Schizosaccharomyces pombe: one gene and its partners. Changing the gene in region 2 together with the main gene of any one other region gives a genetic interaction. Each region holds a gene or a part of one and is shown on either strand. Other genes may lie near its edges.

What was found. Genes that interact genetically often act in the same process or in processes that back each other up.
Region 1: of cut2 (region 2) and cut8, extra expression of one is lethal in a mutant of the other (dosage lethality), as found in Schizosaccharomyces pombe (3 studies listed by BioGRID, with this or other methods).
Region 3: of cut2 (region 2) and psm1, a mutation in one rescues a mutant of the other (synthetic rescue), as found in Schizosaccharomyces pombe (one study listed by BioGRID).

What each region holds. Positions count from the first base shown.
Region 1 is NC_003424.3:4,475,510-4,479,500, reverse strand, and holds cut8 (nuclear proteasome tethering factor Cut8), read right to left. Parts: upstream 2,024-3,991; 5' UTR 1,652-2,023; coding exon 863-1,651; 3' UTR 860-862; downstream 1-859. Other genes in the region: scs22 (VAMP/synaptobrevin-associated protein family protein), read left to right, coding at 9-124, 206-859; protein Pex19, read left to right, coding at 2,791-2,884, 3,027-3,631; protein dhm2, read right to left, coding at 3,927-3,991. UniProt on the Schizosaccharomyces pombe protein: Together with nucleoporin alm1, tethers the proteasome to the nuclear envelope. Involved in ubiquitin-mediated protein degradation and facilitates the degradation of nuclear proteins like mitotic cyclin and cut2. Required for normal progression of anaphase.
Region 2 is NC_003423.3:2,202,468-2,205,821, reverse strand, and holds cut2 (securin cut2), read left to right. Parts: upstream 1-1,605; 5' UTR 1,606-1,615; coding exon 1,616-2,506; 3' UTR 2,507-2,822; downstream 2,823-3,354. Other genes in the region: TIM23 translocase complex subunit Tim44, read right to left, coding at 1-268; eno101 (enolase), read right to left, coding at 3,266-3,354. UniProt on the Schizosaccharomyces pombe protein: Regulatory protein, which plays a central role in chromosome stability. Probably acts by blocking the action of key proteins.
Region 3 is NC_003423.3:2,538,705-2,545,657, reverse strand, and holds psm1 (mitotic/meiotic cohesin complex ATPase subunit Psm1/Smc1), read right to left. Parts: upstream 4,943-6,953; 5' UTR 4,916-4,942; coding exon 1,250-4,915; exon of another isoform or gene 1,204-1,249; coding exon 1,183-1,203; 3' UTR 501-1,182; downstream 1-500. Other genes in the region: exonuclease I Exo1, read right to left, coding at 1-109; histone H3-H4 chaperone, CAF assembly factor (CAF-1) complex subunit A Pcf1, read left to right, coding at 5,705-6,953. UniProt on the Schizosaccharomyces pombe protein: Involved in chromosome cohesion during cell cycle and in DNA repair. Central component of cohesin complex. The cohesin complex is required for the cohesion of sister chromatids after DNA replication.

The sequences.
Region 1 (3,991 bases), on a different chromosome or scaffold from region 2:
TTTAATAGTTATCCTACAGCCTCTAGATCACGAACCGGCTCCTGGCACAAAATGCCGCGATAAATTTTTGGTCCAGAGCACTGAATTGAAGCCAGAATTACAGGGAATGGATATAGCAGATATTGTATGTGATAAAAGATATACTTACATTTACTTTTTTAATACATGCCATACATAATTGATGTTCTAACCAATACTTTAATAGTGGACTCAAGTCAGCAAGGCTAATATATCGGAACGAAAAATTCGATGTGTTTATAGTGAAGGCCCCAGTACTGCAAATGCTCATGCTAATGCTCACCATCAACCAGCTCAAACAACGACTACATCTATTCCTACTTCTGCCACTGACAATTATACCACAGTAAATGGTAATGTTAATCAATCTTACTCTAAAGGAATAGACGGAACGGCACTTCCTTCGACCCATGCAAATCCCGTAGCTGCTCCATCTACAGCTACTACACAGCATACCCAGCTTCCTAAAACATCTGCAGTTTCTCACCAGAAGCCCCATGAAGCCCCATCTACTGCCGTAAAAGCTCCTACTGCAACAGTCGCTGAAAATGAACCTTACCCAAAGCCTCAGTCAGTGCCTACTACCACTTCTCCTAACAATGAAAATAATGCATTAAGATCTACCGCTAATGTAATTAATAACACAAGACAATCAACAGCTACGAGTCCATCTATGTTCGCTGGAAACAGTGGAAATCAAATAGGACTTGCACGCGTTTCATCGTCTTTTGGGCGTCCGACTAGTGGTGCCAAGGTTGTTCCTCAAATTCATAACACAGTTACTGTGCAAACCGCTTTCCTATTAGCCATTATATGTTTCCTTATAGGCCTTCTGTTCTAGTTTTTAAATATATTGATGCATACTGTGCCAACCCATTCCATTGTCATTCCCAATGTTCATACTATTAGTATGACGATGAAAATTGTTTTGTGGATTTGTTTGTTGAAAAGTATGACTTCTTTCATGTACAAGTGGCTCATTTTTTTGTAATTGCTTAAGGTAATTTAATGCCTCTTCCATTCTGTTTTGTGATGTTTTATTGTGCTCTTCCAACTCTTCCAAAGGTAGTAAAGGGACTACAGGCCGATCCTCAAGTTGTCTTAAAACAACAAGCCACGCGCCCGTTAATTCATAGTACGCTTGACTTTTATAAACATTATGGTTGGGATTATGGAATTCTGGCAGTTCGTGGACAACGTTTGTAGCGGCATCAAGAAAAGTAATATTTTTCTCAAAACAAGTAGAGTATGGAGGTAAATAACAAGGAACCATATCATTAAGCGCATGTAAGACAGCCATGTACTTTTCACGAATTCTATTAAATGCGTAATCACCCCTCTTGTCACCACCATAGGGAAATGAGTCATTCAAGTTAATTAAAAGTTTACGCAACGTTTCAACACAAGTATCCATGGACGGCGCCGGTAATATGCCCCGTATATCACGTGCGAGATCAGGATGCTTTTCTACACATTGTAATAAAATTGTAAAAAGCTGTTGTTTGTCTGAATATTGTAGCAGTCTCGACAATGGCAGTTGCTCACCCACAGGTAGTTGACGAGCACGCTTAGAAATGTCTTCGTCAAAATCAGCTTTGCGTTTCTTAATCTGAGAATAAGATAAGGTCTCCATGAATTAAGGAAATGAACAGTAACAACAAATAAAGATACCAACTTCAAACGTGAAATCGTCTGATTAATTATAACAAAGAAAATGAAAATTACAAAGAAATGGATATTCCAAAAGAAAGAGGAAAAAATTTCAAAAGTAGTAACAATAAAACAAAGATAGAGGATACTTTGTTAATGAGCTTCCTTTTTTAAAAGCCGGAAGGATGGCTATTGCTCAGTGTATCGACTTATGAAAGCTAGCAATTTAATTTTTTTCTCAGCCCAAATGAAATAAAACCGTCGATTATAATTTCTATATTACAAGAAGCTCTATTGCCCGCAATACCAGCTCAATTAGAACCTCGATTTCTTAAAAAAGATAATGGAAAATGGTAAGAACAATTTAGTGGCTCAAGAGTTTTCTTCTCATGAGACGTTACCAAACTATTACTTAATTCCTTAATTTGTTTACTGAAAAAATTACATTTTATTTAATATAATGTCACCGCAGCTGAGTGTCAAGCCTACAATAATATGTTAACGCAGTACAGAAAATCGTTAAGTTGGAAGAGCAAAATAATAATTTTTTTCGAAGTAATTGTGCGTATGGATCAATGTTATAGTCAATAACTATTTAACTAATTGTTGTTGGTAAACAGTAGTCAATTCTAACTTATTGGTGATGCTAAAAATGAAAACAAAGCTTCATTTCAACTGATCATAGGCAAGTAATAAAAGCAGGGGGTAGACTTTACGTTCTTGTGTCGACGATTTTATGATCGTTAATTTCGTACTCGATTCATACCAGATACACAAACAATGAATAATTAAAACGATTCATACATCCAGTAAATAAAAAAAATTCCATTAAATTTGTTGTTTGAAGATTTAAAATTGCGTCAAATTTGAAACCAAATAACGCATCTTAATGCACTTGAACGTTTTCACGCTGATATACTTTGATAAACAACGATCACTACGGTTTTACCTACATGAAAAATAATAGAGAAGCACTTTATTATTTTTTTTTGGCAGTTCCAAATTTTCATTTTTTTTGAACTTACTACTTTTTTATTTATTTTGTGAATTACATGATAATTGAACTTGCAAGAGGCTTTTGAAAAACGACAAACGTATGCTGACATCTGATATATAAACGGAATGTCAAATCCAACTATTGAGGGAGACGAAAACCGTAAAGAAAATACAAAAAGCAACACAAAGCCGAATTTTGACGACCTTGATGATTTGGATGGTATGGAACATCGGTAATGTCCTGACTACGATTTGTGTATTACGATATTTCGTTCAAGTGAATTTTGCATTGCATAAATATAAAAAATAATGAGAGGGTAGAAAGGACTTTACATTAAAAGGAAACAACTAACAAAACAAAGATATCCTAGATGATTTAGATGTACCCAGTGCATTTAAGAACGAAGAGAAGAAAAACATAGATGAGCATAAACAAACCGGTAATACATCAAAAGAGAATGAGAGGATAAAGAATGACGATAATTTGAATTCACTTATTCAAGAAATGATGAGCAAATTTGAAGACTTAGGGGGACCGTCTGGCTTGGATGGGAGTCAACTTTCGTCTAGCTTTCAGAATGATCAGTTACTCAATGTTATATTAGAGGATCAGTTTGCAACGGAAAAAGATTCGGATAATGGAGCCGTTAACTATGGTGCTTTAGAGGCTGCCTTAAACTCCCTAATGTCACAAGTTACCAGTAAAGAGATTTTGTATGAACCCCTTAAAGATCTTGAAGCAAACTATCCTAAGTTTTTAAAGAATGCGAAGGAGACAGAGAAGCAAGGTTTTGAAGAACAGTACCAGAAAATTCAGAAATGTATTCAAATTTTTGAGAGTCCCGAATATGATGCTCGTAAAGATGCAGATATCATTTCGAAACTGGTAGAAGAAATACAGGAAAAGCCGCTTCCAGCTCCATTGATTGATAATTCTATGGAAACTGCAGGATGTCCAACCCAGTAAGTGGCTTGACTAAAGGATATGTATCATCGCTGTTATATTATTGAACTTAGGGTTTTGGATTATATATAATTGATTCTTTGTAAAAATTTCCTTATTTTCATTTTCAATTTAGTAACCCACGAACTTAGGTAATTAATTCTTTTGATTGTAACTGCTAAAATATGTTAAGTTGGTTTATATAAAGTTGTTTAGAAGTTTTTAGCTGACATTAGGTCAAGGCGAACCAACGCAAGGCTTTGACAGCAGCAGCAAACGAATAAAATCATAGTGTTATGTTTTCCTTTTTCAGAAATCGTTACAATTGATCAACTTCTTCTTCCAGATCCGATGGTTCAATTGCATAATCTTCAGAGGCATTTT
Region 2 (3,354 bases):
CTGCAGTAGTTCCCGAGCGCGCTTTTTCGTAAGCATCTCTCGCTTTTTTGAAAGTGTCGCTTTCACTTAATGATCCTGAACTATCTTGCAATGCTTTGACACTGTCCTGTAATTCCTGGCTCTTCTTTAATTCTGCTCTAAATGTATCCATGAACACCTTGATTGGCGATTGAGGTGCTGCATTTTGAGAGAATATAGACGTTTGGAAAAACCGCTGGCATTGAACTATTGTGCGGGCATTTTTTGTGATTTTTCTTGATAGAAACATTTTCTTTCCTATTGAATAAATAAATCTCAACGCTATTACGCGAAAATTAATCCACTTTGCTGCCTTTTATTGCAAACCGATATAGCAGCCTAGTGAGTGGTGGATGGAAGGTTCAAGTGCCACAAAGGTGGAAAGATACCTTAATCCTAAATATCGAGAAGTAGTCTTTTGTTAACAAAAGTTAGCATATTCTCTTATATTTGGACTTTTTTACTTTACTAAGAGGAGTTTACGATTAGAATTTTTACGAATTCGCTCATTTTATCTGAAATGCAACTATTAAAATATTGATATAGAGGGAAGCATAAATTACGCATGATCCTAATATATTAAAGAATAAGAGTACCGATCAATTTCCTTTCGTATTGGTTGAAACAGTCGTAGCTGTTGCTTACAATATTGTTGGGAATCGATACCATGTGGGTGGTAAGAGATCGTATGAAGTTATGAAAAAAAGTATTCAATAAGCAGCATAGATATATTACAATGCGTTATATAGAACTGGATAATTTGAGTATGTAGCGGGTTTTGGAGATAAAAGCAATAGTATTAATTAGCATTTTGAAGTTTCGTTTATTCATTTGTAGAGATTTTTCAAATCTAGAAAAATTTAAAGATCTCTTAATTTTGTATCTTTTTTTTTTTTTTTATCAGTTTGATAGAATGTTTGTATGTAATTCTTTCTAATAACATGCGACGTTTGTTGTGCCCCTAAGTTTCTTTGATGAAATTTATTTGAAAATAAGGAAGTAGCTGGTTTATACAGAATTCAAAAGGCGCATTTAAGTTGTAGTAAACCTCGAATTTTTCTGATGATTAATGTGTTTCATGATTTTTTATGAAAACAGTTGTTGAAGCTCCTATATTATTTATCACAGGTTGTAAATTTTCAGCTTCAATAACGAAATGGGATACTTAAAGTCATAACTGATCAATTTTGGCAGACAGATCTAGCTTTAAAAGCTTAGATTCATTCAACATCAAGTTTATACGAAATGATCAGTTGTAATACACTTCCAACTTTTCTGATAATGATTCAGAATGATTACAACATAGTATAGTTGGAATGTAAAATTATTTGTTTCATGAAGAACTGGTTTTCCATCTTGAACACTAGACGATAAAAGCAACCTGAATATCATAAATCATCTTCAATCCAATTAAGCAATTCAAAAACAAAACAAAACAATTTATTATGCATTTGTAAAAGTAAAAATTTAAAAGGTGATCATATTTCTTCAAATTATCGCTTTGTTTACTATTTTAAATTGTGCAGGTCACAATTGAATGTCACCTGTGAAATAATAAACCAGCCTTGGACTATAGACAACGATGTTGCCAAGAACCATGTTTTCATATGGAAAAGAAAACGCTTTTCCTGTAACTCCCATATCAAACAGAAATGGTACAAAAGGAGCGGGCTCCAAAAGAGCACCATTGGGGTCTACAAAGCAGTCGAATGCACCTTCTTCTGTAACGGTTCCTAGAACGGTACTGGGAGGTAAGAGTACTAACATTTCCAAATTTATTTCTGCTCCCAGTACAAAGAAAATGTCTCCTATGGATATTTCGATGGATTCCCCTACTATTTTGGAGCCAAACTCACAAGGAATTTCCCGATCAGCCGTACAAGAGCGGTCGAAGCGACTTTCGGCTAGCCCTCGTCGTTCCTCTTTAACAGACACTCCTTTACCAAATGAACTTGAAGAAGATATCGAATATATGCCTCCTCCTGTTCATTTGGACCCCATTCAATCCCTGGGGTTTGACGACGTTGCAATTGATTGTGAAACGCTCGATCCTTGGCCTAGCATGCAGAATAAGGCTACCTCAGTAACTATTCGTAATACACCTGCATCAGATTTCCATGTTTACAAGGAGTTCAGTGATGATGATCCTATACAATTTCCTCTGCTCAGCGTAGACGGTGACTCCCCGTTAACAGAAAAGGATACTAACCTGACAACACCCGCTACCTTGAAAGCTTCTGATCAACAAAGAAAGGTTCTCGAAAAGCCTTCTGTCAGCAAACAATCCTCTTCCAGAACACGACTCAGTACCGTTTATCGCACCAAGCTGGCATCTGGTAAATCCATCCCTCGACCCTTATCTCATAAACTCACACGACCCCGAGTAACTGCATCTGGCAATAGCCGTCGGCGCCCTTTATCTCGTTCTATTCATTCGTTATCATCTTCACGAATTGATTTTTCATCTTTGGATACAGGATTGTTATAAAAAGATTCCGAATTTTCAGGTTTTGTGCGTACTGGCTTCCGCTTCTACGATTGTAAGTATGATTCTTCCGATGGCTTTGATTTCCCTTGTTGTTTAATTTGTTTCACCACTTTAATGCTGTTCTTTTTTTTTTTTTTTTTACTTAAATGCATAAAGCCTATACGGTCCTTAATTTATGACATGTTTTTCGTTCATGACTTTTCTGTACAAATGATTTCCTTTTCTATATGCTTTTTTTTTTTTGGCTTTTCTGGTTCAATATTTTACTATTGTAATGTAGATGAATTATGTTAATAATATTGTTATTTTCATTCTACGTTGATGAATATTATAAATACTAGTAGGTAAGATGCTGAGGAATAGAACATTTTCCAGTGTTAGTAGTAGTAAAGTGACTGATAAAGAGCAAAGGTATCCAAAAATTTTGGCTACACATAAAAATATGTACTAGGTCAAAGACAAATTTCTGTGTTTTACAGCAGATGCACACATTCCAAAAAAAATTAAGATGATTGAAAAAAAAACACTATATAAACGAAAACTAAAATGATCATCTAAAAAAAAAAAGGATGCAAATTAGCACAAAACAATTATATCAGCTACTTCTACTACAACAACAGTTTACTTTAATACTAATAATAAATAAACACGCAACCTGGCAAATTAATCCAAAACGCAAAAAGGATAAAAATTTCATTGCATTCTATAAAAATAAACATGTATTGTAAACATTAGTAAAATTTAATGTATGCTCAGAGTTTAAAACTTAGCAGCCTTGATGTACTTGCCAGCATGGGCACCAGCGTAAACACCCTCGGAACCGAGTTCCTCCTCGATACGGAGAAGCT
Region 3 (6,953 bases), 340 kb from region 2:
TGTGCAACCAAACATATCCATCAACTCCCAAAGTCTTGCCAGAAAACTCCTCGACATGAGAGCTTTTCTGCATAGGCTTCAAAAGTCCCAAAAGACCTTTAATTCCCATGTTTAAAGCATTCGTCAAGCACCAAAAGAATGCAGGTGCGTTATCGAGATGTTGGTTCTGTAACAGTTTTAACGTAGTACCCTTGGAAGTGTGTTGTGTATCTGATCAACAAATATATTCTTGCAGTCGATAGGCCCAAAACGAACAAGTATAAAATTTACTTTATCATTAAGAAAGGATAAATATAAAAGGCTTTGTTATTGTTTATGTGTGAAATAATTTAAGGAGCCGGCTATCATTGTTTGAGTATGCTGGTGTACTTCTTTTCTAAACATCTATTCAATCGAAATCATTAAAATCATGATAATACTATAAGTAAGTTTTTTTCTTTAAAGTTCTTTGTTTGAAATCTATCGTGATTGTTAACTAAGACTACGGTGAATCAATCAACCATTACCAAATCATTGAATTTAGCTGTATGAGGAAAACTCAAGCGCAAAATTAATATTTTAAAGTTCTATAAGCTGCGGTTTTAAAAATGTAGTGCGGTTAGCATCTAGTTGGGTTTAAACATATTTTAAACTATTCGTCGCTAATAAAACGTTTATTCTTAAAAGTATTCTTGCTAGTTTGTGACTGCAAATACTGTTAAACTAAAAAGGAAAATGCAATAGTTAGTTTCCGGAGAAAGCCTTCTAGAATAGTAGAGACTTCTCAAAATTGTATGCAGCCAAATTCATTAGTTAACAAACAGTCAAGGGGTGAGCCGAATCGTCTAAGCGTAACTGCGTTACTGGAATTATATTGAAAACATTAACCTCACTTAAACCCAACTTCCTTGAAACTAGGGATTAAACATAAACGTAGCTGACAATTGTGACTTATAATTAATGTTTCTATCATTAGCCCAGTCAATTCAGAGACAAAATCAATTAAGGACATAAAGAAAAAGCGTTGTAAATTAAAAAAGTCCTTGATCAATTATAGAAGGAAACTTAAAACAATTAAAATTAAATTCGTTAGAAATAAATAAATTACGCAAATATATATTTGCCATCCCTATTAAACATAAAGTATTCTTAGAATATATTAACACAGACATTAAGCAGCATATCACAGGTTAATATTATCATTTACTCCACATAACCTTCCAACTGTTTTTCGTTAGTATTTTAAAATTAAGAAAAAGTAATCCCTTACGTTGATTGATAATGTTCGTGAAGAATTCTCCTGTTGATCTCTATAAATACCCACTAAAGCTTCTGATTTACTGAACAACTGATTTTTCAAGGAAATGACAACAAATTGAAAACCGCTGGATGCATGCTGTCTAATATAGTTGGCAATCTTGGTAACGTTGGTTTGATCCAAAGCTGCATCAATTTCATCCAATACAAAAAATGGGGATGGCTGATAAGAGTGGATAGCAAATAGCAGAGCCAAAGCAGCCATGGTCTTTTCTCCTCCAGAAAGTTGATCCATATCTCTAAATCTCTTCATAGGTGGCATTGCATGGAACTTGATTCCTCCAAGATATGGCTCATCGAGGTCATCCAAAGTCAAATACGCTGTTCCACCAAGAGGAAAAGCAGGACTTTTGGTAAGTTCCTTATATATTGGATCGATTTGTTCCGAGATATGCGAAAAGGCAGCTTGAAATTTTTGCAATCTCTTTTGCTTAACGGCATTGAAGCGTTCTTTTGCGTTTTTGGCTGCTTTACGAGCAGCAGCAAATTCTTCATCTAACTTCGCCAAGCGAGTTTCTACTGTTTCAAGTCTCTCAATAGCCCTTAAATTAGGAGACATCTGATCCAGCTCTTCCGAATACTCTCTCAATTTTTCTTGAAGAACAGAAGCCATACTCTCAGAACCGTCATTGCGTAACTCTTCATCCAGTTCATCGTAATCCACTTCTACTCCAAATTTCTCAAAATTTATTACTGGTTCAGACGGCTCTTCGCCCATGGTGATATCACCGCTGTTTGAGACATCATCTATAGGTATGCTCGTCAAAGATCCTTCGCGTAACGGAACATCTATATCTTCTAGTTTGCATTTTCGTAAAATTGCGTGCCATTCAGATACATAGCGGTCAATCTCCGATTCTAAAAGAGTAATGTTTCCTGATAACTTTGTTAACTCAGACACTAATCGTTTGCCCACTAGCTTTTTCTCGGATGCAGCTAATAAAATTTTTTCAGTTTTAGAGTTCTCACTTGCAAAATCCTCCTTTAATAATTCAAGCTCAGCCTCGGCAGTTGCAACTTCTGATTCAAGTGCTTCCCGATTTTGCTCGTAATTATCAATAGATTCCTGATCTTTTTCAATGAATTTATGCATACGCTCTAATCGTAACCTGGTATCTGAAACACGTTGTTTTTCAAAACTAATACGATTTTCAAGTAATGATTTTTGCTTGGTGAATTCGAGTTGTTTTTGTGTAAAACTTTGAGTAAAAGTGCGATGTATCTCATCGTAAGTATGTATATCACTTATCCCAATTCGTTTGCAAAACCCGGAGAATATCTTTTCCTCAACCTTTTCTACTTGAATTTGAAGCTCATCTCTACTTTTAACAAAGTTGCGAAGTTCCATTTCCAATTCTGACAAGTGAGGCTGTTTTTCTTTGATTAAAGATTCGTAATGTCCAATTTCCTTTTTTTTGTCTTCCACGGATCTAGAAACTACTGTATATTTGTCTTTGAGTAGAGATATCTCAGATTCAAGACTATGCAACTTGACAGTATCACTTTCTGTAATCACACAAGATGACTTTTGATATTCTATTTCACCAATTTGATGCATAAGTCTATCTTTTGTTTGAGTAAGCAGATCAAAATCATGGTCATCCCAGTGTTTCGCCGACCGGTTGTTTGAAGATCCACCAGTAATCAACCCTGTTTTATGTATAACCGTTCCCTCTAAAGTAACTGTCTTGGCATTGAGACGTTTGTTATAGGAAAGGTCTCGAGCAACAGTCATTGAATCACAAATGAGTGTATTTCCAACTGCACTAATCATTACACGTTCATATTCAGACTCAAAATTCAAAACGTCAATTGCAAGTCGGGCGCCTTTGTGTGTTCCACGAAATTTTTGATTAACGGGACTGGCTGCTATGGTGTCCATTGGAAAAAAGGTCATAATACCTATGCGTTGCTCTTTTATATAGTCAATACACTCTTTAGCAACTGCCTGCGTTTCGACGACAATTGCGTCAAAATTTTTGCCTAAAGCAGCAGCGATTGCGCTTTCATATTTCTTTTGAGTAGGAGTACATAAGTCAATGATTCTTCCTTTGACTTCAGGATATATCCTTTTCAAAGCATACAATGCTTCTCTTTTTTTAGCATCCTGTTTGGATTCATTGCGGTCGGCACTTGCCTCTAAAATTTTCTGTAAACAAGATTGAAGCTCTTCATTTAATTCTTGTGTTTTATGAAAAAGCTCAGAATAAGTCAACCTCTTCTTCTGCTGATCATGCTTTTCAAGTTCCAAACTTTCAATCTTTTCATTTATTTTAGCAAGCAAATCCGCTCGCTCGGTATCAAGAGAAGAAACACTTTCATGAAGGCTTTTAATCTTCGACTCTAAGTCTCCAACGATGCTCGTTAATGAATCCTTTGATTGAGAAGTAACTTTAATATTCCTATTTAACGTCTGCAATTTGAACAATAGATTTGAGTTTAATTTGTCCGCCTCACTTCGAAGTCCTTCATACTCCTCTTTATCCTCTGGTAACAATCGCAACCCTTTGAGTTGCTCTTTTTCCTGCATGTCTTTTAAAAACTCTTTTTCAGCAGCTGAGAGTGAAGTCAATTGATTTTCTAATACTTGTAACGTACTAGCTTGGTCAGAATAATCTTTTTCTATTTCCGCAGCTTTTCTTTGAATTTTTCGGAGATTTGACTTAGACTCTAGGGCTTTCTCGGCAATTGAAATGAGCTCTGGACGTTTCGAAGCAATCAACTTTTCTTGTTTTCGAACTTTTCTATCGAATGCAAGAAGGTTTCTTCGTATACTGCCCTCTTTTTCTTTCAACTTTTCTATCTCTTTAGTGTTCTCATCTCGCCTTTCGATAAGTTGAATGGAATCTGCCTTTAATCGAGTAACCTCTGCCATATTAGAACTAATACTTTTCTCTAGATGAAAGAGTTTCCATAAAAGGTAAACTAACTGCGCAGAGTCTCGTTTTTCTTTTTGACTTTGATAACGCTCGGCTTCAGTTTTCTGTTCTTGATATTGGCGTAACTCAGCGTTGATACCACGTTTCTTGTTAAACGAATGAGCAGATAAATTTACAGCCTTGTCCTGCTCGTCTTTAGATTTATCGTACTCAGATTTATATTCCAGAGAGCCACTTATTTGTTCAACAAGCTTTGAAAGTTCTAAAGGAGATTGCGAAGCAATGGTTTCAACATCACCTTGAAAAACTAAGAAATTTCGAGCTCGAACAAGAATATTCTCCTTTTGGAGAGATCCGCAGTATTCAGAAAACGTAACTATTTCTTCATCAATTTTGTATTCAGTAGCACCAGAAGGAGTGATTGCGCGTTTATACTCTCTTTGCTCCCCATTATCCAACTCATACATAAGTTTCACATATGCTGTAGTAGGATTACTAGAATCAGTGAAATCTGTATTATCTCTTTGCAGTATTTTCCCCCGATAGATCAGTTCTTTAACATTAGTTGATCGTAAATGAGAAGACTTGACCCCTAAAACAAAAGAAATGGCATCCATTAAATTCGATTTTCCGGCTCCATTAGGACCGATAATCGAGGTAAAGTCCTCAAAAGGACCTATAATTTGATGTCCTCGATAAGACTTAAAGTTTTCAACTTCCAGTCTTAGTAAACGTCCCATTAGGAAAACTTGGTAAAAGGAATGTACAAGGTGTGTATGAAACTCGCGTACGCGTCTTTACTTGATTAGATATTGTTACCTACTCATTACGATTACATCTCATAAAGTTTCAGAAATCCACGATATAATATATAGTGCAACTTGATATTCACTGTAACAAGAACCTCGTTATTATGATATTATCCTTCCAGCGAATTACTATTCTAAGCTGCATAGCCCCTGCCTATATATGTACGATGCATCGTTATTGAAAGAAGTTTGCTGCATATAAATAGGAAGAAAATTGATGATAACAACATCCGTTTGTTTCATTATTAATGAATTTGTGGTACTCCAATCACCAGTTAAAAAATATGGCAAATAATTTCAAAGAAAATTCTCGTCAACTGATATTAACTCAATCATAATATAGATGAGCCATAAAATATTAACATTAATATCGTAATGCAATGTAGCAGTAATATTATATAATCGTAGTCAGGTAAAATATATAACAAATCACCATATTAACCCATTCGCAAAAAACTTTGATGTTTAAGCTACTCAGATCAATCAGTACATATCTTGTTAGAACTAAGGAATTAAATTATTCAATTATATAAGCGTTAAGATGGATGAATAATAGATTGGTGAGACAGATTTGGGATAGTGATGTATATAATAGAATATTAACATATAATTTACGAACTCTCCTTTATCCTCTTTATTCGATCAGAGCGTCCGTTAAAACAACTTACGCACGGTTTTTAGCCTCCCTTAGGCTTGTTATTGATATTCGCAGCATTGTCTATGAATAGTGAAAGTGTTGATTCAGATGTCGCGGCCTCTACTAGTAATAAGGGAAATGAGTTATGTAGCTCTTCCACTGACATTACGTCTTTATCAGTGAGTTCCCCGAATGAATCGGTTATTCATTCCAGTCACTCTGCAAGTGAAGCTGATGAGTACGTTTGCAAATTAAGTTATGAGGGTAATAGAAAGAAAAGAATTTATAATGGCTCTGCTGAAGCGGGTAAAGAAAAGAAGCTTCAAAAACAGCGGGCCCAAGAGGAAAGGATTCGACAAAAAGAAGCAGAGCGTTTAAAACGTGAAAAGGAACGTCAACAACGAGAGCAAGAGAAAAAGCTAAGAGAACAGGAAAAAATCGCCGCTAAGAAAATGAAAGAATTAGAGAAATTAGAGAAGGAGCGGATTCGATTGCAGGAACAACAAAGGCGGAAGGAGGAGAGGGATCAAAAGCTTCGTGAGAAAGAAGAAGCACAGCGCCTTCGTCAAGAACAAATCCTTAATAAGGAAAGACAACAATTGAAGTTAAACAACTTTTTCACCAAAGGAGTTGAGAAACGAATCGCGCCAAACGAAAATTTTGTAGCTGACAAAACGGATGAACTGAATGAGTTTGAGAAAGAGTTTCGCCCTTTTTTTATAAAGCATCAGATGTCCCTTTCCAAATATCCATCTCCGAACGAATCTGATTCTTTTTTGGATGAAGTCCTCTCAACCTCTAAATCTTATCCTTTAAAGCTAAACGACATTTTTACACCATCAGATGCTGTAAGCTCCGCAAACAGTTTAGGTGTTAGTAATAGAAATTCCGAAAACGAGGTTCGACAATTAATGAGCGCATATCAAGATCCATCTGTTTCAAAACCTCAAGAAATTTTATCTTGTTTATCACAGATTCCTATTAAATTCATTTTCTTTTATCAGGATGTTCGCCCTCCATATTTTGGATCTTACACGAAAACCCATTCCCATGGTTCTAACGTTTTATTGAATCCCTGGCTTGAAGATGAAGACATAGACTACACATATGATTCAGAAGCAGAATGGGTAGCTGATGAGGAAGATGATGGAGAAGATTTAGAAAGTGAAGATGAAGAGGTAGATAATTCCGATGATATTGTAGAGGATGGTGATAATGCTTTTGTGGATGATGAGGATGATGACAAGGATAGTGTCAATGCTTCTAATACCCATCGTTCCTCCGGCCCATTAGAGGTAATCGTAGAAGGTCCGGTTTGGGATTCAAAGTTTC